Anolis sagrei: one gene and its partners. Each later gene encodes a partner of the first gene's protein in a complex. Links are inferred from orthologs where the notes say so. Each region holds a gene or a part of one and is shown in the gene's direction. Other genes may lie near its edges. The genes, in order: CHTOP, THOC6, THOC3 and THOC7.

What was found.
Region 2: CHTOP (region 1) and THOC6 share a complex: the UniProt entries of both Homo sapiens proteins name them as parts of the transcription/export (TREX) complex. The link is inferred for Anolis sagrei from reciprocal best matches to the Homo sapiens genes CHTOP and THOC6.
Region 3: CHTOP (region 1) and THOC3 share a complex: the UniProt entries of both Homo sapiens proteins name them as parts of the transcription/export (TREX) complex. The link is inferred for Anolis sagrei from reciprocal best matches to the Homo sapiens genes CHTOP and THOC3.
Region 4: CHTOP (region 1) and THOC7 share a complex: the UniProt entries of both Homo sapiens proteins name them as parts of the transcription/export (TREX) complex. The link is inferred for Anolis sagrei from reciprocal best matches to the Homo sapiens genes CHTOP and THOC7.

The regions. Positions count from the first base shown.
Region 1 is NC_090032.1:1,492,486-1,500,411, forward strand, and holds the start of CHTOP (chromatin target of PRMT1 protein), read left to right. Parts: upstream 1-4,880; 5' UTR 4,881-5,167; intron 5,168-7,926. UniProt on the Homo sapiens protein: Plays an important role in the ligand-dependent activation of estrogen receptor target genes. May play a role in the silencing of fetal globin genes.
Region 2 is NC_090026.1:16,484,823-16,491,843, forward strand, and holds the start of THOC6 (THO complex subunit 6 homolog), read left to right. Parts: upstream 1-3,949; 5' UTR 3,950-4,008; coding exon 4,009-4,047; intron 4,048-4,143; exon of another isoform or gene 4,144-4,279; intron 4,280-6,431; coding exon 6,432-6,547; intron 6,548-6,646; coding exon 6,647-6,711; intron 6,712-7,021. UniProt on the Homo sapiens protein: Component of the THO subcomplex of the TREX complex which is thought to couple mRNA transcription, processing and nuclear export, and which specifically associates with spliced mRNA and not with unspliced pre-mRNA.
Region 3 is NC_090022.1:78,399,871-78,407,465, forward strand, and holds the start of THOC3 (THO complex subunit 3), read left to right. Parts: upstream 1-4,518; 5' UTR 4,519-4,558; coding exon 4,559-4,747; intron 4,748-7,010; coding exon 7,011-7,167; intron 7,168-7,595. Other genes in the region: SIMC1 (SUMO-interacting motif-containing protein 1), read right to left, coding at 2,329-2,418. UniProt on the Homo sapiens protein: Component of the THO subcomplex of the TREX complex which is thought to couple mRNA transcription, processing and nuclear export, and which specifically associates with spliced mRNA and not with unspliced pre-mRNA.
Region 4 is NC_090022.1:33,441,448-33,448,831, reverse strand, and holds the start of THOC7 (THO complex subunit 7 homolog), read left to right. Parts: upstream 1-4,363; 5' UTR 4,364-4,428; coding exon 4,429-4,447; intron 4,448-6,378; coding exon 6,379-6,496; intron 6,497-7,384. UniProt on the Homo sapiens protein: Component of the THO subcomplex of the TREX complex which is thought to couple mRNA transcription, processing and nuclear export, and which specifically associates with spliced mRNA and not with unspliced pre-mRNA.

The DNA.
Region 1 (7,926 bases):
AACCCATGGGGGTGGAAGGGGCCCCAAAGAAGGCCATCCAGTCCAACCCCCTTCTGCCATAACAGATAGATAGATAGATAGATAGATAGATAGATAGATAGATAGATAGATAGATAGATAGATAGATAGATAGATAGATCCATAGATGCATAGATAGATGCATAGATAGACAAACAGTATCCTAGAGTTGGAAGGGCTCCCCAGAGGCCATCCAGTCCAGCCCTCTTCTGCCATAACAGATAGATAGATACATTGATAGATAAATACATAGATAGATAGATAGATAGATAGATAGATAGATGGATGGATGGATGGATGGATGGATGGATGGATGGATAGAAAGATGCATAATTAGAGTTGGAAGGAGGCCCCAGAGGCCATCCAGTCCAGCCTCCTTCTTCCATAATAGATACATGGATGGATGGATGGATGGATGGATGGATGGATGGATGGATGGATAGATAGATAGATAGATAGATAGATAGATAGATAGATAGATAGGATAGATGGGAGGATAGATGGATGGAAGGAAGGATAGAAGAATGGATGGGTGGATGTGAGGACAGATGAATGGATGGATGGATGGATGGATGGATGGATGGATGGATGGAAGGAAGGAAGGAAGGAAGGATGGATGGATGGGAGGACAGATGGGTGGATGAATGGAATGATAGGAGGATAGATTGATGGATGGAAGGATAGAAGAATGGATGGATGGAAGGAAGGAAGGATGGATAGAAGGATAGGAAGATGGATGGATGAATGGATAGGAGGATGGATGGATGGATGGATGGGAGGATAGATGGATGAATGGAAGGATAGAAGGATGGATGGATAGAAGGATAGGAAGATAGATGGATGGAAGGATAGAAGAATGGATGGATGGAAGGAAGGATGGATGGATGGAAGGAAGGATAGGAGGATAGATGGATGGAAGGATAGAAGAATGGATGGATGGAAGGAAAGATGGATGGATGGAAGGAAGGAAGGATAGGAGGATAGATGGATGGAAGGATAGAAGAATGGATGGATGGATGGAAGGAAAGATGGATGGATGGAAGGAAGGAAGGATAGGAGGATAGATGGATGGAAGGATAGAAGAATGGATGGATGGATGGAAGGAAAGATGGATGGATGGAAGGAAGGAAGGATAGGAGGATAGATGGATGGATGGAAGGATAGGAGGATAGATGGATGGATGGATGGATGGATGGAAGGAAGGATAGGAGGATAGGAGGATAGAATGGATATTTATATTTATTTATCGTGTCATCAGCAACCATACCATTGTGTTACAATTCTAACAGAACAAAACAAACACACAGATTAAAAAGAAAAAAAAGGAAAAAGAAAAAAAACACACAGATTTTGCAAACTTGGATGGATGGAAGGAAGGAAGGATGGATAGATGGATGGATGGATGGATGGATGGATGGATGGATGGATGGATGGATGGGAGGATAGATGGATGGGAGGATAGATAGATGGATGGAAGGATAGAAAAATGGAGGGAAGGAAGGAAGGATGGATGGAAGAAAGGATAGAAGGATGGATGGATGGATGGATGGAAGGAAGGAAGGAAGGAAAGAAGGAAAGAAGGATGATGTATGGATGGATAGATAGATAGATAGATGCATGCTGCATGCATACATACACAGGTAAACAAATAGTATCCTAGTGTTGGAAGGGGCCCTCAGAGGCCATCCAGTCCAACCTCCTTCTACCATAATAGATACATGGATAGACAGACAAATGGTAGGTACCCTAGAGTTGGAAGGGGCCCCCAAAGAAGGCCATCCAGTCCCACCCCCTTCTGCTCAGGATGTTTCCTGCCTGTTTCTGCCTGCAAGATGCAATGGGGCGCTCCCTTCCTCCTCCTCCTCCATGGGGCCTCCTTATCTCTTGTATCCGTGGCTGAGACACTCCTTGGCACCCGGTTTGGCAGGATTGGCAATTGGGCACAAACACAAACAGACACAGCAGTGGGAGGGGCCTTCAATGCACATCATTTGAAGAGACCCACAAAGGATATCCAGCCTGGTGGGCAGGGAAGACCCCACCAAAACCCTCCCGACAGATGTCCCGACTGTCTGTACCTCTCAATCCAGAGCTGTGGATTTAACGGGCCGATTGCAACACATGCGTCTGGAATATGTACATAATTCATCTCTTATAATAATACACAAATATATAATGTATACATCATCATCATGATCATTATTCCAATAATAATAATTAATTAACCTCTTGGATGACCCCTTTGACCACCTTCTACCCTCTTTCCATTGCCCAGGATGGATGGATGGATGGATGGATGGATAGATAGATAGATAGATAGATAGATAGATAGATAGATATTTGCAACTCACCTGCTGTCACCGAGAGATCTCTCCAGCCGATGTTGATCCCTCTGAGTGTGTCTTGCTGAGTGTGTCTTGCTGAGCGCAATCCAGATCCAGGATCCTGATCAGCAGGAAGATCCACCTGGCTCTCCATGCGCAATGCTCCTGCTCCGGGAAAAGGCTCAAAGGACTCTCCGGGAGCCCCAAAGGACATCCAGCCCAACCCCAAAATACAGGAATCCTTTTTCTTAATCATCCCTTTCCACTTTAATTCCAGATTATTATTATTATTATTATTATTATTATTATTATTATTATTATTATATCTGTTGTTGTTTTTGTTTTTAAACAGTCTGCTCTGATACAAAGATTCTATTATTCTATTCAGCTAGCTCTTTCTCCGAATGGCCATCTCTCAGGAGGGATTGAATTGTGTGGATGGATGGATAGACAATCTATGATGGCAGAAGGGGGTGGACTAGATGGCCTTCTTTGGGGTCCCTTCCAACTAAGAGCCTGCCTAACTATCTCCTTCTCTGTGTGGCTATCTATCGGGAGGGATTGAATTGTATCTATCTGTCTTATCTATCTCCTTCTCTGGATGGCTATCTATTGGGAGGGATCGAATTGTGTGTTCTTATCTATCTGTCTGTCTGTCTGTCTCTCCTCTGTGTGGCCATCTATTGGGAGGGATTGAATTGTATCTATCTGTCTTATCTATCTCCTCTAGATGGCTATCTATCAGGAGGGATCAAATTGTGTCTTCCTATCTATCTATCTATCTATCTATCTATCTATCTATCTATCTCCTTCTCTGGATGGCTATCTATCAGGAGGGATCGAATTGTGTCTTCCAATCTATATATCTCCTTCTCTGGATGGCTATCTGGCAGGAGGGATTGAAATGTGTCTTCCTATCTATCTATCTATCTATCTATCTATCTATCTATCTATGTCCTTCTCTGGATGGCTATCTATCAGGAAGGATTGAATTGTGTCCCTATCTATCTATCTATCTATCTATCTATCTATCTATCTCCTCTGGATGGCTATCTATCGGGAGGGATTGAATTGTGTGTTCTTACTTATCTATCTGTCTGTCTCCTCTGTGTGGCCATCTATAAGGAGGGATCAAATTGTGTCTTCCAATCTATATATCTCCTTCTCTGGATGGCTATCTATCAGGAGGGATTGAATTGTGTCTTCCTATCTATCCATCTCCTCTGGATGGCCATCAATTGGGAGGGTTTGAATTGTGTCTTCCTATCTATCTATCTATCTATCTATCTATCTATCTATCTATCTATTAACCTATGTCCTTCTCTGGATGGCTATCTGTTGGGAAGGATCGAATTGTGTCTATCTATTGATCTCCTCTGAACGGCCATCTGTCGGGAAAGATCGAATTGTGTCTTCCTATCTATCTATGTATGTCTCTATCGATGTATCCATCCGTCTCCTTCTCTGGCCATCTGTCAGGAGGGCTTTGATCCTGCTTTCCCTGCCTGGCCAAAGATGGTCGGACTGGATGTCCTTTGGGGGTCCCTCTTCCAATCCTTGGGACTCTTTGCTTCCATAGCCTTATTTCTCCACGAACCCGGTCATGCCTATGAGGCTGACTGGCCATCTGTCGGGAGGGATCACATTTAAGGTATGTATGAGCAGAAAAGGCGGTTCCATTTGAGAGCCACGCTGCAATGCTCGGGAACGGCCACTGGAGGGCGAAAGAGAGCTGGACCTGCCCCTAGATATAGGAAAGGCAAGAGTGCCAAGTCCAGAGGGAGAAGCCATTTCCCTGGAGACTTCTTGTACTTCTCCATCCAGCCCCGCCTCCTTGACGCATGCGCAGTGTCACCGTTCTTGTCCCATAATCTAGTCTCTTTTAACGCATGCGTAGAAGCACCATTTGTCACAGTCCCTCACTGTCTTAACGCATGCGCAGTGGTGCCGTCCTGATGTCTCCTATAATGCCGGATCCTTTAACGCATGCGCAGAGGCACCATCCTGTCAGTCCAGCCCTCTCGTTTTCAACGCATGCGTAGTGGCACCGATTGGTCAGTCAAGCCAGTCTCTTTTAACGCATGCGCAATGGCATCATTCTTATTCCTCAGTCCAGCTTAGTCTCCTTTAACGCATGCGCAGTGGCACCGTTTTGTCAGCCGCGTTTCTTTCAACGCATGCGCAATGGCATCAGTCATTTTCGATCCAGGTGAGTCTCCTTTAACGCATGCGCAGAGGTACCGTTTTGTCTAGTTTCAACTCATGCGCAATGGCATCATTATTACTCGGTCCAGGTTCGTTTCTTTTAACGCATGCGCAGTGACACCATTTTGTCTAGTTTCAACACATGCGCAATGGCATCATTCTTATTACTCGGTCAAGATTAGTCTCCGTTAACGCATGCGCACTGGCACCGTTTTGGTCCGTCAGTCAATTTTAACGCATGCGCAGTAGCACCATTCTGGTTCCTCGGGTCTGTTTCGTCTCCTAAACGCATGCGCAGTGTCACAATACTGGCCTCGCTTGTCCCGCCTCGCCTCCTTAACGCATGCGCAGTGTCGACGCCGCCTCCGCCATTTTGCCGGGCTTCGTCTGAGGGGAGTGTGGAGAGCGAGGCCGGAGCCGAAAGGGAAGAGAGAGAGCGAGAGGGGGCAAGGGGAGGCGGAGTTCGGACTAGAGGAGGACACGGAGACCGCCACCATCTTTGCGTTCGGGGCGCCCGAGCGGGGAGGGGGCCGGGCCAAGCCTGAGCGGAGCCTCCCGCCGCCGCCGCCTCTCCCCGCAGAGCCCGGCCAGGCCGAAGCCAGCCAGGCCCGAGCCCGACGGTGAGCCCCGAGAGGGGGGGAGGGGGAGTGGGGAAATGGGGGGGCTGAGGGGAGAGGCAGCACACGTGACCCCCTTCCGAGGCCCCGCCCCCTCGTTGAGCCGAATAGATAGATAGAAAGGCACCATTCGATCCCTCCCGGTAGATGGCCGTCCAGAGTAAATAAATAGATAAATAGGAAGACATCATTCGATCCCTCCAGATAGATGGCCATCCAGAAAAGATAGGTAGATAGATAGATAACAAGACACAATTCAATCCCTCCTAATAGGTGGCCATACAGAGAAAATAGATAGATAGATAGACAGATAGGAAGACACAGTTCAATCCCACCTGATAGATGTCCATCCAGAGAAGATAGGTAAGAAGACACAATTTGATCCCTCCCAATAGATGGCCATCCAGAGAAGATAGATAGATAGATAGATAGATAGATAGGAAGACACAATTAGCTCCCTCCTGATAGATGGCCATCCAGAGAAGATAGAGAGATAGATAGGAAAACACGATTCGATCCCTCCCAATAGATGGCCATCTAGAAAAAATAGACAGGTAGATAGATAGATAACAAGACACAATTTGAGCCCTCCTTATACATGACCATCCAGAGAAGATAGATAGATAGATAGACACAATTCAATCCCTCCTGATAGATGGCCATCCAGAGTAGATAGGTAGATAGATAGGAAGACACAATTCAATCCCTCTGATAGATGGCCATCCAGAGAAAATACATAAATAGGAAGACATCATTTGATCCTTCCAGATAGATGGCCATCCAGAAAAGATAGATAGGTAGGTAGGTAGAAAAATAACAAGACACTATTCAATCCCTCCTGATAGATGGCCATCCAGAGTAGATAGATAAATAGATAGATAGATACAATTTGAGCAGTCCCGGTAGATGTCCATCCAGGGAAAATACATAAATAAATAGGAAGACACAATTTGATCTCTCCAGATAGATGGCCATCCAGAAAAGATAGATAGGTAGAGATAGATAACAAGACACAATTCAATCCCTCCTGATAGATGGCCATACAGAGAAGATAGATAGATAGACACGATCCGATCTCTCCAGATAGATGGCCATCCAGAAAAGATAGATAGGTAGAGATAGATAACAAGACACAATTCAATCCCTCCTGATAGATGGCCATATAGAGAAAATAGATAGATAGATAGATAGATAGACAGACACGATCCGATCTCTCCAGATAGATGGCCATCCAGAAAAGATAGATAGGTAGATAGATAACAAGACACAATTCAATCCCTCCAGATAGATGGCCATCCAGAGAAGATAGATATATAGGAAGACACTATTCGATCCCTCCCAATAGATGGCCGTACAGAAAGGCTAGATAGATAGATAGATAAAAAGACACAAATTGAGCCCTCCTGATAGATGGCCATCCAGAGAAGATAGATAGATAGATAGATAGATAGATAGATAAATAGGAAGACACGATTCGATCCCTCCCAATAGATGGCCATCCAGAAAAGATAGATAGATAACAAGACACAATTTGAGCCCTCCTGATAGATGGCCATACAGAGAAAATAGATAGGTAGATTGGAAGACATAATTCAATCTCTCCCAATAGATGGCTATCCAGAGTAGATAGATAGGAAGACACAATTCAATCCCTCCCTATAGATGGCCAGAGTAGATAGGTAGATAGGAAGGCACAATTCAATCCCTCCTGATAAATGGTCATACAGAGAAGATAGATAGATAGATAGATAGGAAAACACATTTCGATCCCTCACGATAGATGGCCATCTAGAAAAATAGATAGGTAGATAGATAACAAGACACAATTTGGGCCCTCCCGATAGATGACCATCTAGGGAAGATAGGAAGACACAATTCAATTCCTCCTGACAGATAGCCATCCAGAGAAGATAGGTAGCAAGACACAATTTGATCCCTCCCAATAGATGGCCATCCAGAGTAGATAGGTAGGTAGATAGCTAGGAAGACACAATTCAATCCCTCCTGATAGATGGCCATCCAGAGAAGATAGATAGATAGATAGGAAAACACAATTTGATCCCTCCTGATAGATGGCCACCCAGAGAAGATAGATAGATAGATAGAAAAACACAATTAGCTCCCTCCTGATAGATGGCCACCCAGAGCAGATAGGTAGAAAGATAGGAAGACACAATTCAATCTCTCCTGATAGATGGCCACCCAGAGAAGATAGATAAATGGGAAGGCACAGTATATTATTATTTTACTGTTATTTTACAGAAAATAACAGTAATTGTTTACTGTTACTATTTTACTATTATTATTTTAGCTGTTGTTGTTTATTATTATTGACACAAAAGCACAATATGTCACAGCAAACGAGATCTAGATGCTGGATTTCGTATCCCAAAATCACAAGTCAAACCCTTCCCAAACGTCTAGGACTGTGTGCTGTATTTTCAAATGATGCGCACAGATCCAAGTCAATTGACAGATCGTGATTTTGTCGATGTTTATTGTTTCCGAGTGCCGGCTGAGATCTTTTGGCACGGCACCCAGTGCGCCAAATATTATTATTTATTTATTTACAGCATTTATATCCCTAGGGGAACTCAAAGCATCATTGTCTTGTCTAAAAATATTACCCTCTTATTTGGAATGGCAATATCATTTTATTATTATTATTGTCTTGTCTAAAAATATTACCCTCTTATTTGGAATGGCAATATCATTTTATTGAGGGTTTCCAAATGCTGGCTGAATCGCCTTTTCGTTGGTCT
Region 2 (7,021 bases), on another chromosome or scaffold:
GTATTATCCAACGCAGTCGGCCTCCTGCCTGGATCTATAGCTCTTTCATTGAATAGCTTTGCAGCTTCAAAGCCTGGCTGCTTCCTGGCTGAGGGAATCCCCTGTTGGGAAGTGATTAACTAGCCTTGTCTGCCTCCCATCTGGAACTCCCCCTTTTTTGAGAGCTCCTCTTCATTCACTGTCCCAATCCTAGGGTCTCTTAATACTGGTACCCAGATTTTGCTCCTCCCCATGGCCTCCTCCCCTCTGCTCAAACTGTCCACATGCATGTGGACTTCAATGGTCTCCCTGTGCCGTTCGACATGGCAGCCGCCAAAGTGGTCCAGCATTTCTGTGCTCCTAAATAACACGCCATGTCCAGGTTGGCCCACCAAGTGCTCCACCACAGCCCACCTCTCTGGTTGAACCAGTCTTCTATTGAATATAGAATACATGGTGATCCTATAGAGCTGTGCACTTTAGGAGATTTATGGTAATGCTAGTCTTTACTGAAGTTTTTGGGTGTGAAAAGAAGGAATAACTTAAATTGACTTGATTATTTCACATAGACTCAGAAATGTATTAAATTCATGGCCCAGCATCTCCAATTCAAAACCTCATTTTCAACCACAAAGGTTTGGCCAAAATGAGAAACACTGGAAGTCCTTTTATATCTTGTTGAACTCTCCCCATCATATTTGACCACTGGCCCTGCTAGGTGAGGCTAATGGGAATTGGAGTTCAACATCTGGAGAGCCAATGCTTCCCATCCCTAGACTTGACCTTATGTTTATGTAAGATCCCTTTTACATGGCCATATAGTCCAGATGATCAAAGCAGATAATCCACATTATCTGGTTTGAACTGGGTTGCATTCACACTTCCATATAATCCAGTTCAAAGCATATATATATATGGATTTTATATGAAAGTAGAAGGAGCCTAAGAACTTGCATCCATACACACCAAGTATAGTCATTATTATAATAATTATTAATACCCAATTTTTTCTCTCTAAAAAGAGACTCGGCTCCCTTCTACACTACCATATAAAATCCAGATTATATAATTTGAATTGGATTATTTATTTATTTATTTATTTATTAGCTGCATTTGTTGACCGCCGTTCTCAGCCCTTTAGGGCGACTTATATTATACGGAAGGTGTGGACTAATATAATCCAGTTCAAAGCAGATAATGTGGAGTATTTGCTTTGATAATCTGGATTATATGGCAGTGTAGAAGGAGCCTTGATGTTGTCTTACTTCAGTTGAAAACAAGTGAAGTAACACTTGCAAGTACATAACTTTTCTGGCTGGACTGTTACCGTATCCTTCACTGCTGATGGTTGTAAAACATTAAGGCATAATACCAGAATAGGTCACACTTGATCCAAACAACAGTTGATGCTTGCAATGGACTGAGTGGGCTATTTTAGTGCTGTATGTTTTTTTAATGTTCGGATGCAATGCCTGTTTTGCTTCAAGGAATACTAATGTTATGGCATAAATGGTGTGTTTGGAGAAGAGGAAAAGGAAGGGAGGACACCTAACACCTAGCCCACTGAAACAATGATAAACTGCAATGATTAGAAGAGGAAAAGAATAATATATGGACAGTGGACTGTTGTTATTAGCTACGGTTTGGTTTCATGTTGCACCATAACATGGGCTGCCATAAGGTCCACAAAAACTGTTCCTATGCTGTCACGCGCTGGGCCTGCGAAAGAGTCTGTAGACAGGACGTGTTTTCTGAATGCCCAACGGGACGCCGGGGGTGCCTCGGCTGAGAGGCCGTTTGGATTTCTCCACACAAAGTTATTTTAAAGACTTAGAAAGCTCAACAAAGTTTTTATTGTTACTTAAATCTTTAATAAATCAAACAAATACTTCAAGGCTTTGAATCAACTGGTGGCTTGCTTAAATCTTGTCCACAAGGGACAGGCAACTTTCTTCATAAACTGTTTCTTCCTTCTATAAGGGAAATCCTTGACCCCTTCTTGAGCAATCTATATTTAGGCTTTGCTGGCGTGGGGCCCCTATACTCGGTTCCAATTTGCATTATGGCTGCCGCAAGAGGTCCTTACCAGGCCAAAGTCTCTGTGTAGATTTTCAAGAGGAAAGAAGTCCTTTGTTTCCCAGTGAAGGCTGGCTGAAAAACCGTGGAGCTGTATTTCTCCAGCAAAGAGCTGGCTGTAGAGTTGTGGAACTAAATTCCCCAACAAAGGCTATGCTGTAGTTCTCGGTATTTATTTGTCGTGTCAGGGCTGAGGTGTTCCAGCGAGTGTCTCTGTAGATCTTAGAAAACTATTTCTAGATTTAAGTCATTGACATGCTGGCTGATACCCAAACAGGGGGTGAGCTGGAGATGTCACTGCCTTGGTCCTTTCACTATTGGCTGCTACTTCCCGGCGGATGTCAGGTGGTGCAATACCGGCTAAGCAGTGTAATTTCTCCAGTGGTGTAGGGTACAGACACCCTGTGATAAAGCGGCATGTCTCATTAAGAGCCACATCCACTGTTTTAGTGGTGAGATGTGTTCCACACTGGGCATCCATACTCAGCAGCAGAGTAGCACAGCGCAAGGGCAGATGTCTTCACTGTATCTGGTTGTGATCCCCAGGTTGTGCCAGTCAGCTTTCGTATGATATTGTTTCTAGCACCCACTTTTTGCTTGATGTTCTCGGTAGAGCTGTGGGACTGGATCCCCCAGCAAAGCTGTAAAAGACGAAGCTTTCTACAGGTGGAACTGATTCACATCCTGTATGAAAGGCTTCTCTGTGTAAACTGAACTACAGGCAGGGCCGTAGCCAGAAACAAAATTCGGGAGGGGTTGAAAATTTTGCGGGGGGGGGGGGGGGTGAAACCTGCCTCCTAGCCCACGCTGAAGCAAAGAGCACAGCAGAGGGCAGAGCAGCCTTCAATAACCTGCAGCTCCGCCCCTGTCAACCACCTCCACCAAGTCTGGCCTCCTTAATGAGAGAATTCAACACAAACACACCCAACTTGGTTGCTTTACTACATCGGCTATTGCTGCAAGTAATGACAGTGTGGATAAATTGTCAATATTTGCTTGAGATAGTGCTTGCAGTTCTGGAGGGACTCTGTAATTTTTTGCATCTCATAGACTTAGCATGGGGATTTGGTTAACCAGTTAAAATTCATGAGTAAACCAGGTTTTTTAAAAAATCTGAAACATTTCAGGGGGGGGGGGGGGTTGAACCCCTAAAACCACCCCCTCGCTACAGGCCTGACTACAGGCCCCCCTTTCCCCCTCCTTAACCCAGAAAAAGGGGCGGAACTAAACAACATAATCATTGATGGGTCATTGGCCCTATTGGAGCCCCCGGTGGCGCAGTGGGTTAAAGCACTGAGCTGCTGAGCTTGTTGATCAAAAGGTCTCAGGTTCGATTCCGGGGAGCGGCGTGAGCTTCTGCTGTCAGCCCTAGCTTCTGCCAACCTAGCAGTTCGAAAACATGCAAATGTGAGTAGATCAATAAGTACCGCTCCGGCGGGAAGGTAACGGCGCTCCATGCAGTCATGCCGGCCACATGACCTTGGAGGTGTCTACGGACAACGCTGGCTCTTCGGCTTTGAAATGGAGATGAGCACCACCCCCCAGAGTCAGACATGACTGGACTTAATGTCAGGGGACTATCTTTACAGCCGTACCAGCACAGTTCCCGTAATGCAACCTTTCTCATAGCCTTCCTTGATCTATTATGAATGTATCCTTGTCATGTCTTTCTTTCCAAGGTTCAGGGTCTAAAAAGGTCACATTAGGAGGCAAGCCTTTTGAGGGCAATTCAGGACAAGACCTCTCTGCCCTGGCCTGACTTGGGCCTACTAATCCAGGCCCACGCCCACAGAAAGGCAAGCAATAGAGATCCCAGAGTGCTTTGCGCTCCAGGCGGCCATTTTAAGAGAGCCCTAGCAACACCGACTTCATACATTCCCCTCACGGTGGGCGTGTCTATCCTCAGAAGGGGCGTGGCTTTCCCTGCCATTGAAGCGCGTTGCTTCTCTGCGCATGCGTCAAGCAGAGGAGGGAAACGCGGCGCCACCAACGGTTAGTAGAGGGCCTAGCCTAGGAAGGGGGATGTGGGCCTACAGGTCTCTTGTGCGCATGCGCTGTATGATAAGGCAAGGCTTTTCTCATTCTTACCGTGCAAATACGATTTACGACTCTCTTCTGGTTGGAGGAGCCCTCTCTTTGAAGCCGGGGACGAAGCGGCGTAGGAAAGTAGCAACAAAATGCCTTTTTTCAGTCACGTGACGGAATGTAACTCCACCGCGAGGTAGCTTGGGAAATGTAGTCCCAACTGTCGCTTCTTCCCCGCCCTCTGGTAGGATATGGCTCTGGGAAGACTACGACTCCCGTGATGCCTTGCGCTCGTGGAAGCTTCTCTTTCCTTACTTGCCCATAGAGATAGAAAGTGAAGAATGCTTTCTGGAATTGGTTCTGAATCTTCTTGGAGAACAAATCAATTCTGTGGTTCTTTTGGTTTGCGGGGAAGGCGTGAATAAATGGATATGGTTTCTTAATTTTTGAAATTATTAGTATCTTTGGACAGGAATTCACTTAAAGCAACAGTGTCTCATTTTGTTCCTCCAGGTATTTTGGACTTCTTGCTCCCAGGATTCCTGACTGTTGGCCAAGATGGATGGGAATTGAAGTCCAAAAAACCAATTGGAACAATTCACTTAAAGAAGGCATGGGCAAACTTGGGCCCTCCAGATGTTTTGGACTCCAACTCCCACCATTCCTAACAGCCTCAGGCCCCTTCCTTTTCCCCCTCAGCCGCTTAAGCGGCTGAGGGGGAAAAGGAAAGGGCCTGAGGCTGTTAGGAATGGTGGGAGTTGAAGTCCAAAACACCTGAAGGGCTGTTTGCCTATATCTGACTTAAAGCATCTTACGACACATAAGCAAAGGTATTTTAATAGTAGGTAGACTCAGTAACTATTCTAAAGCCTTTGTCTGTGTGGATCCTAATAATTTGTGGCAAGTTCTTGGTGGTATGGGGATACCAAATCACCTTATCTCTCTCCTGAGGAATCTGTATAAGGACCAAGTAACAACAGTAAGAACTGACCATGGAACAACAGACTGGTTCAAGATTGGGAAAGGCGTACGGCAGGGTTGTATACTCTCACCCAACCTATTCAACTTGTATGCAGAACACATCATGCAGGGCTTGATGAATGCAAGGTCAGGGTTAAAATAGCTGGAAGAAACATTAGCAACCTTAAATATGCAGATGATACCACTTTGATGGGCAAAAGCGAGGAGGAGCTGAGGTGCTTTCTTGTTGTTGTTGTTCATTCGTTCAGTCGTCTCCGAGTCTTCGTGACCTCATGGACCAGCCCACGCCAGAGCTCCTTGTCGGCCGTTACCACCCCCAGCTCCCTCAAGGTCAGTCCAGTCACTTCAAGGATGCCATCCATCCATCTTGCCCTTGGTCGGCCCCTCTTCCTTTTGCCTTCCACTTTCCCCAGGTGCTTTCTAATCAAGGTGAAAGAAGAAAGTGCTAAAGCTAAGTTGCAGTTAAACATTAAAAAAAACCCCAAGATTATGGCAACCAGACTGATTGATAACTGGCATATAGAAGGGGAAAATGTGGAGGCCGTGACAGAGTTGGTGTTTCTAGGTGCAAAGATTACTGCAGATGCAGACTGCAGACTGGAAATCAGAAGATGCTTACTTCTTGGGAGGAGAGCAATGACCAATCTCAATAAAATAGTGAAGAGTAGAGACATCACATTAGCAATGTTAAAGCAATGGGATTCCCCGTTGTAACCTACAGATGTGAGAGCTGGACCATAAGGAAGGTTGAGCGAAGAAAGATAGATGCTTTTGAACTGTGGTGTTGGAGGAAAATTCTGAGAGTGCCTTGGACCATGAGAAGATCCAACCAGTCCATATTTCAGGAAGAAAAGCTTATTGGAGGGAAGGATATTAGAGGCAAAGATGAAGTATTTTGGACACGTAATGAGAAGACAGGAAAGCTTAGAGAAGACAATGATGCTGGGGAAAAAGGAAGGAAAAAGGAGGAGGGGCCGACCAAGGGCAAGATGGATTGATGATATCCTTGAAGTGACTGGCTCGACTCTGAAGGAGCTGGGGGTGGTGACGGCCGACAGGGAGCTCTGACGTGGGCTGGTCTATGAGGTCACGAAGAGTCTGAAGTGTCTGAACGAATGAACAACAAAAACTCAGTAACAGTTTTAAGCATCCTTCCTTCATAAATTCAAGAAGATAGGAAACTCTTCATTGATCCATTTATCCCAATATTGTCCATACTAATTTACAGCCACTCTCCAGAATTACAGGCCGGATTGTTTCCAAACACTAGAGATCTCCAGGCTTGATCTTGTTCACTTCGCCAAACCAGTGAAGACTAGCATATTTAGGGTGGTACTACTGACCTGACTTCTCATCCCACCTTTTGCCAGATGAATATCCAGCGATCCCTTGAGCTGCTGCACATGACCGTCTACTCCCAGAGCGTCTCGCCTTGTGGAAAGTATTTAGCGGCTGGGAACAATTATGGAGAGATTGCCATATTCAGGTAGCTAGTGCTTTCTTAACACAAAGGGTGTTTTTGGGTGAGACATTAATTTGAAATGATTACAAGTTACATTTCACGGTCTTTCCCTCCTCTTTACAGCCTTTCAGCAGCACTGAGTTCAGAGGCCAAGGAAGAGAGCAAGAAGCCAGTGGTTTCCTTTACAGGTAGATCATTATGGTCCGGTGAATCCAAGCAATTCCTGTCATGTTTGTGACTGTTCAGATCTGACCCACCATGTCATTTTATGTGGCTCTCCAGATACTGGACTACAACTCCTATGTTCCTCATCATAATCATCATAACTAGAGCTAATGGCAGTTGTAATACAGTAACACCTGGAAGGCTGCAGTTCGTTTAGTCAGTGGAATGTGGTTTGAATTTAGATACAAGGCTTGTGGATATGATACATAATGGATCATGTGATTTTAATTGATGCTTTAGTGCTATGTTTTAATGGGTTTGGTTTTAATGTTT
Region 3 (7,595 bases), on another chromosome or scaffold:
GCTTGTTAAAAGTCACTGTATGTTAGTTAGCAGAGACAGGTCATTATATCAAAAGCCAGATTTCAGCAATCCACACAATGATTTTTTGTGACAAATGAGCCAGTCGATATAACAATCAGGAACAGCTAATCACCTCTGAAAAAAAGATTCCCTCAGGCACTAACAAGCCACACCAAATAACTGCCAGGCCATCAAATGCTAATCAAGGTGATCAGTTGAAACATTCACAGCAGACAACATTCCAGCAGACAAGAGTACTTTGTCCCACCCTAGTCATTCCACAGATATATAAACCCAATTTTGTTAGTTCCAACAGACCTCATTACCTTTGAGGATGCTTGCCATAGATGCAGGTGAAATGTCAGGAGAGAATGCCTCTAGAACATGGCCATATAGCCAGAAAAAACCTACAACTACCCAGTGATTCCAGCCATGAAAGCCTTCGACAATACAAAGGCTGAAATTATGGTTGAACATTAATATTCATAATGGTATATATATATATATAAAAGGACCCGCTGTCAGTGCTCACCATGAGGGAGGTCATTAGGGGGCAAAACAGCTCTAAACACAGGATCACAGTTTAAACACAATTCCAATATACTAGATTTGGAACCAAAAAGAATGTGCCCAACTGCCAAGCCATCCTTACAGTTTTATCTTTCCTTGCTGGAACTTTTCAGGCATTTGAAAGCTGCATTGGAATTAAAGGGCCAAGAAAATTCCATTTCACTAGGGACCATATCCCAGCCCCCTTCATGTTTTAAAACAGCTATAATCCATTTAGGTAATTAAAAAGTGTCAAAGTCAATCCTACGATGTAGGTGGACTTCCTGTTTGTGCCAGTCATGCTCCGTAATGCAGGGGCGGCTCAACCCATTACGCAAAGTAAGCATTCGCAGTACAGTTGATTTTGCCCAGGGGCGCTCTTGAGGCGCTCTTGGGGGAAAATAGACCTTGACATGCAAGTTGTAGTTACTAGGATGTATAGTTCACCTACAATCAAAGAGCATTCTGAACTCAACCAATGATGGAATTGAACCAAATATGGCACACAGAACTCCCACGACAAACAGAATATATATATCTATCAGTGATTGGTTGGGTGGGGGGGGCACCAAAATACTGTTTGCTTACCATTGAAAATTATCTAGGGCCGCCTCTGCCGTAATGTAAACATCTAAAACAGTCCCAAAAAAGGGAGGGGGGCGAAGATGATTGTTTCACTGTTGCCTGATGTTGATGTCTAAGAATGTTATCATTTGATTTATGGTTTGAAAATTTATTTGATGAAACTATTCTTCATACCATTGCTATTTATTAATCAAATTAAATCAAATTAAATTGGTGTCCATTATCCCCTTCATTATGGCAGTGTAGAAGGGGCCTTAAAGCCTCAGCTTCAAAATCCCCGTTTGGTACTTTTGAGCCAAATAGCGAACGAATAGGTGCCCGCACCTCTTTTGGGCAAAAAAGGCAGAAAATGAGGGTTAGGATTATGATCTTGTAGTTTGGGTTGCTGTGAGTTTTCTGGGCTGTATGGTCATGTTCCAGAAGCATTCTCTCCTGACGTATCTCCTGCATCTATGGCAGCCATCCTCAGAGGTTGTGATAGCCTCAGGCTGTCACAACCTCTGAGGATGCCTGCCATAGATGCAGGAGAAATGTCAGGAGAGAATGCTTCTGGAATGCCTCAGGCTGTCACAACCTCTGAGGATGCCTGCCATAGATGCAGGCGAAACGTCAGGAGAGAATGCTTCTGGAATGCCTCAGGCTGTCACAAACTCTGAGGATGCCTGCCATAGATGCAGGCGAAACGTCAGGAGAGAATGCTTCTGGAATGCCTCAGGCTGTCACAACCTCTGAGGATGCCTGCCATAGATGCAGGTGAAACGTCAGGAGAAAATGCTTCTGGAATGACTCAGGCTGTCACAACCTCTGAGGATTCCTGCCATAGATGCAGGCGAAACGTCAGGAGAGAATGATTTTGAAATGCCTCAGACTGTCACAACGTCTGAGGATGCCTGCCATAGATGTAGGCGAAACGTCAGGAGAGAATGCTTCTGGAACATGGCCATACAGCCCAGAAAACTCACAACAACCCAGTGATTCCGGCCTTCGACAATACAAACGATGTTGTTTATTTATACCCCGCTTTTCTCTCCAAGAAGGAGACTCGGTACAGTTCAAAATCTACACATAGACAAACATGATGTCAACGCTGAGGTAACGGGGAGCGAAGAAGATCAGAGCCTTCCCCGCGCGCGGGAGCAGAAGCAGAACGGAAGTGCCTCCATCTTGGCTGCGGGCAAGCGCAGCCACACTCACCGCGAGTTTCTGTGGGCACCGCCGCCGCTTTTGCCGCGAAGCCTTCTTGCCTGGGAGCGGTCCCACATAGAGAACGTCTTCCTCCTCCATGCTGCCTCTCGGCGTGGTCCCGCCCACTAGGGGGCGTGGCCTACTCAGATGGGGAGTGGGGCCAAGGAAAGTTCTCTCCCAGAGCGAGGCCAGGAAGGGCTGGGTGCTTCACCAAGCTACAACTCCCACTGAAGGAGACGTAGTTTTAAAAGGGAATTTTCAGAGATGTCATTTACTACTGCCATCTCGGCCTGTTTCTGCAATAGGTCTTTGTTTACAGAAAATGCTGATGGTTTGAGACAACAGTGCTGCAGAGAGGAAGCTACTTGTCAAGGATAACAGTACATCCGGACAAAACCGGCTCGTTAGAACCTCCCAAGTTTCCCAGTTGCTCTGAAGTTATGTTTGCAACAGAATAACAGATTAAGAAAGTATTTATTTATCGTGACATCTGCAACCAGAACATTGTATTACATTTCTAACTGAACAAAACAAACAAACAAACAGATAAAAAAACCACACAAATTTTGCAATCTTGGTAGCTGATTAAATGTCCTTTGACCAGTATCTGGCCACTTGGAGTGCTTCTGGTGTTGCCGCAAGAAGGTCCTCCATTGTGCATGTGGCAGGGCTCAGGTTGCATTGCAGCAGGTGGTCAGTGGTTTGCTCTTCTCCACACTCGCATGTCGTGGATTCAACTTTGTAGCCCCATTTCTTAAGATTGGCTCTGCATCTCGTGGTGCCAGAGCACAGTCTGTTCAGTGCCTTCCAAGTCGCCCAGTCCTCTGTGTGCCCAGGGGGGAGTCTCTCATCTGGTATCACCCACGGATTGAGGTGCTGGGTTTGAGCCTGCCACTTTTGAACTCTCGCTTGCTGAGAGGTGTTCCAGCGAGTGTCTCTGTAGATCTAAAAAAACTATTTCTTGATTTAAGTTGTTGACATGCTGGCTGATACCCAAACAAGGGATGAGCTGGAGATGTCTCTGCCTTGGTCCTTTCACTATTGGCTGCAACTTCCCGGCGGATGTCAGGTGGTGCAATACTGGCTAAGCAGTGTAATTTCTCCAGTGGCGTAGGGTGCAGACACCCTGTGATAATGCGGCATGTCTCATTAAGTAAGTCATGGTCAGAGAACAATAGACTAGAGTTGTGTCCTTGATGTCAATCAATTTGGAGTGGGGCCAAAGAAAGTTCCCTCTGGTGCTTCTTTTAAAGAAGAGGAAGCTGCCAAGCCTCTCCCAAAGCGAGGCGTTGTAGGCTCGATATTTGTGTGCCCGAAGGAAAAGGGATGCTGGGTTGTTGTGAGGTTTTCGGGCTGTGTGGCCATGTTCCAGAAGCATTCTCTCCTGACGTTTCACCTGCATCTACGGCAGGCATCCTCAAAGGTTGGGAGCCCAGAGCAGGCCTGTAGCCAGGATTTTGATTTGGGGGGGGGGGGGCTGAGTCTGAGTGAAAGAGGGTCTACCCTAGCAAACCTTTTGTATCGTTACCCCAATACCCCCATGCATATGGGATATATTGAGCATGGTGATCAGATCATGATATGAATAAACATGTTTAAATAATGTAGCAGTAAGGTCTTTTCGTGGACCACCATGTGAATTTCGGGGGGGGGGGGAGCTGAAGCCCCCAAAGCCCCCCCCCCCCCCCCCCCGCTACATGCCTGGTCCAGAGGTTGAATCAATCCGTGAAACATGAATCAGTCAGGGCCAGGTAACACCTCCCAGCAAAGGATTCCCCTAGACAGCAACGATCCAGGCTTTGAAGCTGCAAGGCCATTAAATGCTAATCACGGTAGCCAATTGCAACAGTCACACTTGCCTCAAGAGTTCTTTCTCCTATCCTGGACATTGCAGAGATAGCTAAACCCCGCTTGTCTTGTTTCCAACAAAGCGCACTACCTCTGAGCCTGCCATAGCTGTGGGTGAAATGTCACACTGCATTTCTTATACCAGTGCTTCTCAACCTGTGGCTCCCCAGGGGTTTTGGCCTACAACTCCCAGAACTCCCAGCCAGTTTAGGATATCTGGAAGTTCAAGGCCCTCAAGGGATGAGGCGAGGCCCACTCCCAACCCGGGCCACAGCTGTCACTTGCCCATTCCAGAGGAAGGCACAGGCGCGAGCAGTGACGTCACGGAGGCGCGCCCTTTCTGTCCCGGAAGCGGAAGGCGCGCGGGCTGAGCGTCCGGGGTGGGGTTGCCATGGCGGCGCCGTCCTCTCCCTACGTGCAGGCCATGCAGGAGCTCTTCCGCGCCAACACGCGCAGCCGCGAGTTCCCAGCCCACGGCGCCAAGGTCCACTCGGTGGCCTGGAGCTGCTGCGGCCGCCGCCTCGCCTCCGGCTCCTTCGACAAGACCGCCAGCGTCTTCGTGCTCGACAAAGACCGCCTGGTAAGCGGCAGAGGGATGTGGGCCGCGCCCGCCCAAAGCCTCCTCGCCTTGCCTCCATCACGGCCAGTGTTCTTCGCAACTTGATGTGACGCTGCTTAGGCCCATCTACACGGTCCCATTTAAAAGGAGGCCAGACAGCAAACTCCCACCAAAGCGCATGAAAAGCCCTTAATACGCATTAGTGCTCTGTGGTCTGTGTAATCGCCACCCGGACCCCAAAACTGGTCCCAGGATCTCCCATGCTAAGCAATCGCATATGCTTTCAAACCACTTTCTTCCCTACTACGTTAAATGGTCTGTGTAGATCAGTGATTCTCCAGGTGTTTTGGACTTCAGCTCCCACAATTCCTAACAGCTGGTAATAATAATAATAATAATAATAATAATAATAATAATAATCTTTATTTATACCCGGCCACCATCTCCCCAATTGGGACTCCGAGCGGCAGACATGAGGCCAAGCCCAAACTGAAAATTACAATAAAATAAAACCGAAAACCCAAACAATAAACAACAAACAACATAATTACATAAAACATATGATAGCAATATAAAATTACAATATGCACAATCACAATGAAAATGGGCTTATTTATTTATCGTGTCATCTGCAACCAGAACATTGTACTACATTTCTAACAGAACAAAACAAACAAACAGATAAAAAAACCACACAGATTTTGCAAACTTGGTAGTGGATTAAATGTCCTTTGACCAGTATCTGGCCACTTGGAGTGCCTCTAGTGTTGCTGCAAGAAGGTCCTCCATCGTGCATGTGGCAGGGCTCAGGTTGCATTGCAGCGGGTGGTCAGTGGTTTGCTCTTCTCCACACTCGCATGCCGAGGATTCCACCCTGTAGCCCCATTTCTTAAGATTGGCTCTGCATCTCATGGTGCCAGAGCGCAGTCTGTTCAGCGCCTTCCAAGTCGCCCAGTTTTCTGTGTGCCCAGAGGGGAGTCTCTCATCTGGTATCACCCACGGATTGAGGTGCTGGGTTTGAGCCTGCCACTTTTGAACTCTCGCTTGCTGAGGTGTTCCAGCGAGTGTCTCTGTAGATCTAAGAAAACTGGGCTGGCAACATGTAATGATTAAAAGAGACTGATTAAAACTAACTAAAACTCAGGTGAGATGAGAGAGAGACAGATTATTTGCAGAGGAGGACTCATTATAGTGGGGGTTGTGGAATCAGGCTTTCCCACAAAGGGGAACACATATACTCCAATGACAAAACGTTGACAAATAGTGTGAGAATGTAAACCTATTCATCAAAAGCACAGCAGAAGAGCCAGGTTTTAAGGTCCTTTTAAAAGGTTTCTAAGGTAGGGGTAAGATGGCTGGGATTTCTGGGAGCTGAAGTCCAAAACACCTGGAGGCCAAAGGTTGGCAACCACTGTAGCTGTTCCTTGTGTTACAAGATGTGGCTGAATGAAATTCATAATGACATTTGTGTGGTAAAGTTCAAAGCCGTGGTCGTTTTACAAGGTCTTTAGCCTTCTCTGCTAAAGATTGCTGGCTGCCTAATCAAACTACAACTCCAAGGATTTCACAGCATTGAGCCATGGCAATTAAAGGGGTGGTAAAGGTATAGATTTCCCCTTGACATTAAGTCTAGTTGTGTGAGTATGTGGGGTGGTGCTCATCTCCATTTCTACTCATCTCCATTTCTAAGCCAAAGAACCAGTGTTATTTGTAGACACCCCCAAGGTCATGTGGCTGGCATGACTGCATGGTGTGCTGTTACCTTCTCGCCAAAGCGGTACCTATTAATCTCACATTTGCATGTTTTCAAACTGCTAGGTTGGCAGAAGCTGGGGTTAACAGCAGGAGCTCACCCCATTCCCTGGATTCGAATCACTGACCTTTTGGTCAACAAGTTCAGCAGCTCTGCTGTTTGACTCACAGTGCCAGCATAGGCTCTGGTGTAAAGCTGCATAAATTTTACATATTCTGGAAATTTAATAAAATTCCTGCATTCAAGTGGATAAATTCATCCTGAAAGAACAAAGTTGATAGTATCTTTTGTAAATTGGGACTGCATCTACACTTCAGAATTAATGCCCTTTGATACCATTGCCATGACTCAATGCTGTGGAATCATGGAAGTTGTAGTTTTACAAGGTTGTTAGCCTTCTCTTTCAGAGTGCTGGGGCCTCACCAAAAGTTTAGTTGCTGGATTATTTGAGAAAGGCAGAAATGTGTGTTTGTGCACACATCTGTACATAATGATGTGGAATTTAAAACTGTACTTCATTTCCCTCTCTAGGTGAAGGAGAGTAATTACCGTGGCCATGGAGATAGTGTGGATCAGTTGTGCTGGCACCCCAGTAACCCTGACTTATTTGTCACGGCATCTGGAGATAAAACCATTCGTATCTGGGATGTCCGCACCACTAAGTGCATTGCCACAGTGAACACCAAAGGTAAATGACACTAATCTTAATTGAAGAATATCTGTCTTTTGCAAGTATTTGATCATGTAATTGGGGGAGTACTAAAATAAGAAATTAATCCTGAGAAGACATCACTTTTTAATTGCACTTTTAACCCATGTAGATCTCTCTCCTTCATCAGATCTTTTCCCCTAAAAAGTGGGCTGAGCTGAAACTGTATTTTACTCTTGTTATGTTTTAGAAATGTTACTTGAACAGTGTCCAAGTAACATCATCTTCTGAGGCTTAGGTCTGAAAGGCTGTCCCAAGCCCCCATGTCTCCTTGTATTAGTTAACCCAGGTTTCAAAATCCTTAAAAGAGGACAATCTGGTGATTTCTCCCAAGTTGTAAATTTCCTTGCAGAAGAGGTTTCTTGGCTCTGTCCGGTTTTTCTACTGTGACTTTGTTGCTGTACTTT
Region 4 (7,384 bases), on another chromosome or scaffold:
AAGAAAAATAATTAGAAAAAACTGTGGTAATATCAACCATAATGGAAGTGTTCTTAATGGATGTGCCTTTCCACAAATACACAGGAAACAGAAGACCTAGCATACCAGCACAGAATATAAACACGGGAACAATAACAATAAAAGATGCACACATGACAAAGCATAATGAAAAGCATTTACAGTAATGGTGCCCTACTGAAAGCTATAGATGACTCTGATAGGTAAGGGAAACAGGTGGTAAATAAGGAAAGCAGGCCAGTGTAGTAGCAGCAAAAGAGATGGTAATGGCAGAAATGGTTGGGAGAAAACAGAAGTGGCAGCAGAGATGAAATTATTATGGCAACAACAATGATAATATGAGTGAGGGATAGTGAAAATGGCATCAGTGAAGGAGGTCATGAAAGCGATAAACAGGCTACAAAAGACCTCATAATGGTAGAACAGCTTGAGTATCCTTTATCCAAAATGCTTAGGACCAGTATTATTTTGAATTTAGGATTTTGGGCTATCTGTTGTTGTTTGCCTTCAAGTCACTTCTGATTTAGAGAAATCCCAAGGTGACTTGGGTTTTCGGGAACTGAGAAGATGTGATTCATCCAAGGTCACCCAGCAGGTTTCCATGGATGAGCAGTGAACCAAATCCAGGCCTCCAATGCTATCATTGAATTCTCAAAGCACTGCACCACACTGGTTCGATTTGGAATATTTACATACAGATAATCTTAGGGCATATCTATACGGTAAAATTAATGTAGTTTGACGCCATCTTAACAGTCATGGCTCAATGCTATGGAATCACGGGAGTTGTAGCTTTGCAAGGTCTTCTACATTCTCTGCCGAAGAGTGCTGAGGCCTCACCAAACCACAGTTCTCAGGATTCCACAAACTACAGTTCACATGGAATTATGGGAGCTATCGTTTGACAACGTCCTGGGCCTATTCTGCCCACCAAACTACAACTCCCATGATTCTATAACATTGAACCATGACTGTTAAAGTAGAATTAATGCAATTTGACACCACTTTCAATGTCATGGCTCAATGCTATGGAATCACGGGAGCAGTAGTTTTACAAGTTCTTTAGCCTTCTCTGCCTAAGAGTGTGTATGCCTCACCTCACCGATCAACACCCATGATCACATTAAGCAGTGAATCCCAAACGCTATTCTTCAAGGGATATTTGGTCTCAGATGCCCTGGCCAAAATGATCAGGGGTTCTGGAAGCCCACATCCAAAATTCCTGAAATATTACAGTTTGGGAACCATTCTAAATCCATAACATAGTCATGGCAATAAATCATGGCCATTACAGTAAAGTTAATGCAGTTTAATGTCACTTTAAATATAATGGTTCAATGCTATGTAATCATGGAAGCTGTCCTTTTACAAAGCCTCTTGCCTTCCCTGCCCAAGACTACAAATCCCAGGATTCCATAGCATTGAGCCATGGCCATTAAAGAAGAAACGATGCAGTTTGGTACAGAATCATAAAGATCACTTGGACCATCTATACCAGGGATCCTCAAACTAAGGCTCGAGGGCCGGATACGGCCTTCCAAGGTCATTTACCCAGTCCTTGCTCAAGGTGAACCTAAGTCTGAAACGACCAGAAAGCACACAACAACCACAATTCCATCTCATAAGCCAAAAGCAGGCCCACACTTCCCATTGCAATACTAATAAGTTTATATTTGTTAAAATTGTTCTTCATTTTAATTATTATATTGTTTGTGCACTTCAAATAAGTGTTTGTGCACTTCAAATAAGATATGTGCAGTGTGAATAGGAATTCATAAATGTTTTTTTTTTCAAATTATAATCCGGCCCTCCAACAATTTGAGGGACTGTGACCTGGCCCTCTGTTTAAAAAGTTTAAGGACCCCTGATCTATACTCTGAGGCATAAAGTTCCACTGTGGAATGGTCAGGAAGTTATTCCTAATGTTCAGGCAGAATTCCCAATAAGACATTATATTAACTATCCCGGCTCAAGATGATGGAATCATGAGAGCTGCCCTTTTATAAACTCTCTAGCTTTCTGCCCAAGTGACTCACAAAACTACAAATCCCAGGATTCAAAAGCATTGAGCCATGGCTGTTAAAGCAGAATAGATGCAGTCTGACATAGAATTATAGAGACCTTGTGGACCATCCTGTCAAAAAGCAGGAAACTTACATTAAAAGCACCCCTGACCAGCCTCTGTTTAAAAGCCTCCAAGGAAGGAGCCTCCACCAGACTCTGAGGCAGAGAGTTCCACTGCTGAACAGCTCTCACAGTCAGGAAGTTCTTATTAATGTTCAGGTGGAATCCCCAATAAGACATCACTTTAACTATCCAGGTTCAATACAATAAAATCATGGAAGATTTTCAAACTCTTTAGCTTTCTGCCAAACTGTAGGTGCCTCACCCATAACTAGAGGCCATGGCCTTTAAAGTAGAATGGATGCAGTTTGACACATCTTTTAACTACCCTGGCTCACTACTATGATACCATGGGAACTGTAGTTTTACAAACTCGAGTCTAGTTTGCTGACAAAGTATAGGTGCTTCACCCAAAACTACAAATCCCAGGATTCCATAGCATTGAGCCATGGACGTTAAAGTAGAATCAATGCAGTTTGGCACAGAATCATGAAGACTGCATGGGCCATGTAGCCTACTGCTGAACAGGTGTTATTACAGTCATGAAGTTCTTCCTAATGTTCAAGTGGAATCCCCAATAAAACATCACTTTAACTATCGTTTTACAAACTATATGGCTTTCTGCCCACGTGTAGGTGCCTCACCCAAAATTACAAATCCCAGGATTCCATAGTATTGAGCCACGGCCATTAAAGTAGAATCATTGCAGTTTGACACAGAATCATGAAGACCACATGGGCCATGTAGTCTACTGCTGAACAGGTGTTATTACAGTCATGAAGTTCTTCCTAATGTTCAAGTGGCATCCCCAACAAAACATCACTTTAACTATCCTTTTACAAACTCTCTGACTTTCTGCCAAAATGTAGGTACCTCACCCAAAACTACAAATCCCAGGATTCCATAGCATTGAGCCATGCCTGTTAAGGTAGGATGGGTGGAGTTTGACACCACTTTATCTATCCTGGCTCGACACTATGGATTCATGGGACATGTAGTTTTACAAACTCTATAGCTCGGGCTTGGGTGAACTTGGGCCCTCCAGGTGTTTTGGACTTCAACTTCCAAAATTGTGGGAGTTGAAGTCAAAAAACACCTGGAGGGCCCAAGTTGGCCCAGGCCTGAGCTAGTGGGAGTTGAAGTCCAAAACACCTGGAGGGCCCAAGTTTGCCCAGGCCTGAACTAGCTTTCTGCCCAAGTGTAGGTGCCTCACCCAAAACCAAATCCCTGGATTCCATAGCATTGAGCCATACCTGTTAAGATAGAATGGGTGCAGTCTGTCACCACTTTATCTATCCTGGCTGGATGCTATGGATTCGCGGGAGCCGTAGTTCTACAAACTCTATAGCTCAGGCCTGGGTGAACTTGGGCCCACCAGGTGTTTTAGACTTCAACTTCCACAATTGTGGGAGATGAAGTCCAAAACACCTGGTGGGCCCAAGTTGGCTCAGGCTGGAGATAGCTTTCTGCCCAAGTGTAGGTGCCTCACCCAAAACTACAAATCCCAGGAGTCCATAGCATTGAGCCATGCCTGTAAAGGTAGGATGGGTGGAGTTTGACCCCACTTTATCCTGGCTGGATACTATGTATTCATGGGAGATGTAGTTTCACAAACTCTATAGCTCAGGCCTGTGTGAACTTGGGCCCACCAGGTGTTTTGGACTTCAAGTTCCACAATTGTGGGAGTTGAAATCCAAAACACCTGGAGGGCCCAAGTTCGCCCAGGCCTGCACTAGCTTCTGTCAGTGTGTAGGTGCCTCACCCAAATCTATAAATCCCAGGATCCCGTAGCACTGAAAAGTTTCCCGAGGCCTGGCGCCTTCTCTGGCTGGGGCCTCACCAAAAGTCCAACCTGCCTTCGAAGCGGTGTCAAACTGCGTTAATTCCCCAGCGTGGCCAAAAGGTCACCAAAGGGGAGAGGCAGGGATTTCTGGTGGTGGGTGAACGCTTCCCCCTGCCTGGCTCTCACCTGGAGCGGAGGAAGGGGCAGGCGGGCGGGGCGAGGCGGGCCTGCTTGCCGAGCCAAGCCTAGCGAGTCGCCCTCCCCTTGGAACCCGCGCCCGGCCTGCTTCAGGGCCCAGGCGCAGCAGCCCACGACGACGACGACGCCTCCTCCTCCCCCTCCATGGCCGCCGCCGCCGCTCCTGCTGCTCCTGCTGCTGCCGCCGCCGCTTACCCGGCTGCTCCTGCTACTGCCGCCGCCGCCGCTGCATTGTGGGAAGCCGCCTCACTCCCTCACTTCCTCACTCGCTCCCTCCTGCCTCCGCCGCGGCCTTCGCCATCGCCATGGGCGCCGTCACCGATGGTGAGAGACCCAGCGCCTCCAGAGCCGGCCAAGGAGGGGACAGCGGCCGCCGCGACCCTTCTTGCTCCCAGCCAGCGAGGCCTTCCCGGGCCCTCTCTTTCCTCCTTTCTTTCCTCCTTCCTTTCCCTCAGGCTCGAGTCCCTTCTGCCCTCATGGCCTTCGCCTCAGCAAGGCCTTCACATCCTTCCTCCTCTTCCAGGCCTCCTCTTCCCTCCTCCTCACTGAGGCCTTCGCTCTCTTCTTCCCCCTCCTGGGGTGGTTTTCACCTTTGGGAAGGAGTGTGGGGCGCCCTGAGGCCTCTTCCACACCTGAATGAATACAACCCCACGTTCTCTGCTTTGAACTGGGATAGATGGCACGGTGGACTCAGGCAACCCACACAGCCCTCTAGCCCAGAATATCAAGGCAGAAAGTCCCACAATATCTGCTTTGAACTGAGTTATCTGAGTCCACATTGCCATATATCCCAGTTCAAAGCAGAAAATGAGGGGTTTCATTCAGCTGTGTGGATTCAGATAACCTAATTCAACGCAGATATAGTGGGATTGTCTGCCTTGATATTCTGGGATATAGGGCTGTGTGGAAGGGCCCTCAGATAACCCAGTTCAAAGCAGATATTGTGGCAATGTGGACTCAGACAACCCACACAGCCCTATAGCCCAGAATATCAAGGCAGACAATCCCACAATATCTGCTTTGAACTGGGTTATCTGAGGGCCCTTCCACACAGCCCTATATCCCAGAATATCAAGGCAGACAATCCCACTATATCTGCGTTGAATTGGGTTATCTGAATCCACACAGGCCCCTTCCACACAGCTGAATGAAATCCCTCATTTTCTGCTTTGAACTGGGATATATGGCAATGTGGACTCAGATAACTCAGTTCAGAGCAGATATTGTGGGATTTTCTGCCTCAATATTCTGGATTATATGGCTGTGTGGGAAGGCCCTTAGATAATGTGGGATTTTCTGCCTTGATATTCAGGATTATATGGCTGTGTGGAAAGGCCCTTAGATAATGTGGGATTTTCTGCTTTGATATTCTGGCATTCAGGGCCTTGTGGAAGAGCCCCCAGAATATCAAGGCAGAAAATCCCACAGTCTCAGTTTTGAACTGGGTTATCTGGGGCCACTTCCACACAGCTGAATAAATTTTTTTTTGCATTTGGTCGTTTCCATATTCCCTGTATCATTCTCCTGTTTCACACTTCAAGTACTTTCCATGCAGCTGGATAAAATCCCACATTTTCTGCTTTGAACTGGAATATATAGCAGTGTGGACTCAGATAACCCAGTTCAGATATTGTGGGATTTTCTGCCTTGGTATTCTGGTTTATATGGCTATGTGGAAGGGCCCTTAGATTTGTCTTTCTCCACATAACAATGTTAATAATAATGGTAATAATAATCAATTTTACTTTAAAGTTAGATTCTGATTTCCTATTTGCATTAATTAAACAATGTATCTAAAAAGAAGGAAAATATCCTTATTTTGATAACAGTATGTATATATTTAAGGAAGATGTGAGGGACATTTGACTCTCCAAATATTTTGGATCACACAATCCACAGTCATTGGCCCATGTTGGATGGAAATAGAGAGGCCAAAACCTTTGGAAAGTGAATGGTTCCCCATCTGTGGTTGGAGGGCCCTTCCACACAGCCCTTTGTACTGCGATCTGATCCAAGATTCAGGTAATTTCCTTAGGTCCTGACTATGGGCTCTTCCACACTGTCCTATATCAGGGAATATCAAGCTAGGAAATCCCACATCTCAGTGTGGACTCAGATAACCCAGTCCAAAGCAGATATTGTGGGATTTTCTGCCTTGATATTCTGGGTTATAGGGCTGTGTGGAAGGGCCCTGTGTCTGTGATCACAACTCATAAACGAACATTATTAATTTTGAAATATTGTTTCTTCTTTAGATGAAGTTATTCGCAAGCGACTTTTGATTGATGGAGATGGTGCTGGTGATGACAGACGAATTAATTTGTTGGTGAAGAGTTTCATCAAGTGGTGCAATTCTGGATCCCAAGAAGAAGGGTATTTTTCTATCTTAGAATCATAGAATCATAGAATCAGAGAGTTGGAAGAGACCTCATGGGCCATCCAGTCCAACCCCCTGCCAAGAAGCAGGAATATTGCATTCAAATCACCCCTGACAGATGGCCATCCAGCCTCTGCTTAAAAGCCTCCAAAGAAGGAGCCTCCACCACACTCCGGGGCAGAGAGTTCCACTGCTGAACGGCTCTCACAGTCAGGAAGTTCTTCCTCATGTTCAGATGGAATCTCCTCTCTTGTAGTTTGAAGCCATTGTTCCGCGTCCTAGTCTCCAGGGAAGCAGAAAACAAGCTTGCTCCCTCCTCCCTGTGGCTTCCTCTCACATATTTATACATGGTAAAATCTTATCAATAAATGGAAACTAAGTGCAGCCCATCAAACGCCAGTACTCTGTAATATCTACTAATGTTAAAGGGGCATGGGGATTGTGTCCAATGACATTTAGTAGTGCATTTTGAATGTGAAGTTTTTTACTGGTAGAGTATATTTCAATGAACACAAAGAAAGACTCTTTTTCAGGAAAACAAATATTGAAATAGTGTAAAGGTTGTAATGAAATGTAAATGACTCTGAGCAAGTATCATACACTAGTTACTTAAGTATTTTGACATTTCCAAATGTACATTATTCCGCATTCTCTCTGGAATTATGAACCTTGATAATGTATTTTGCAGTTTACACTGACTGTAGATAGTCATGTCCTGTAAATAAAGTGGCAGAGACGTGTATGCAGATAGAGCCCTCGGTGCTTTAAAATAATAAAATAAACCCTTGTGTCAGCAGGACTGAAGACCAACAGGTTGGAGGTTCAAATCTGGGGAGAGCACAGATGAGCTCCCTCTTATCAGCTCTAGCCTCCCACAGGAATGA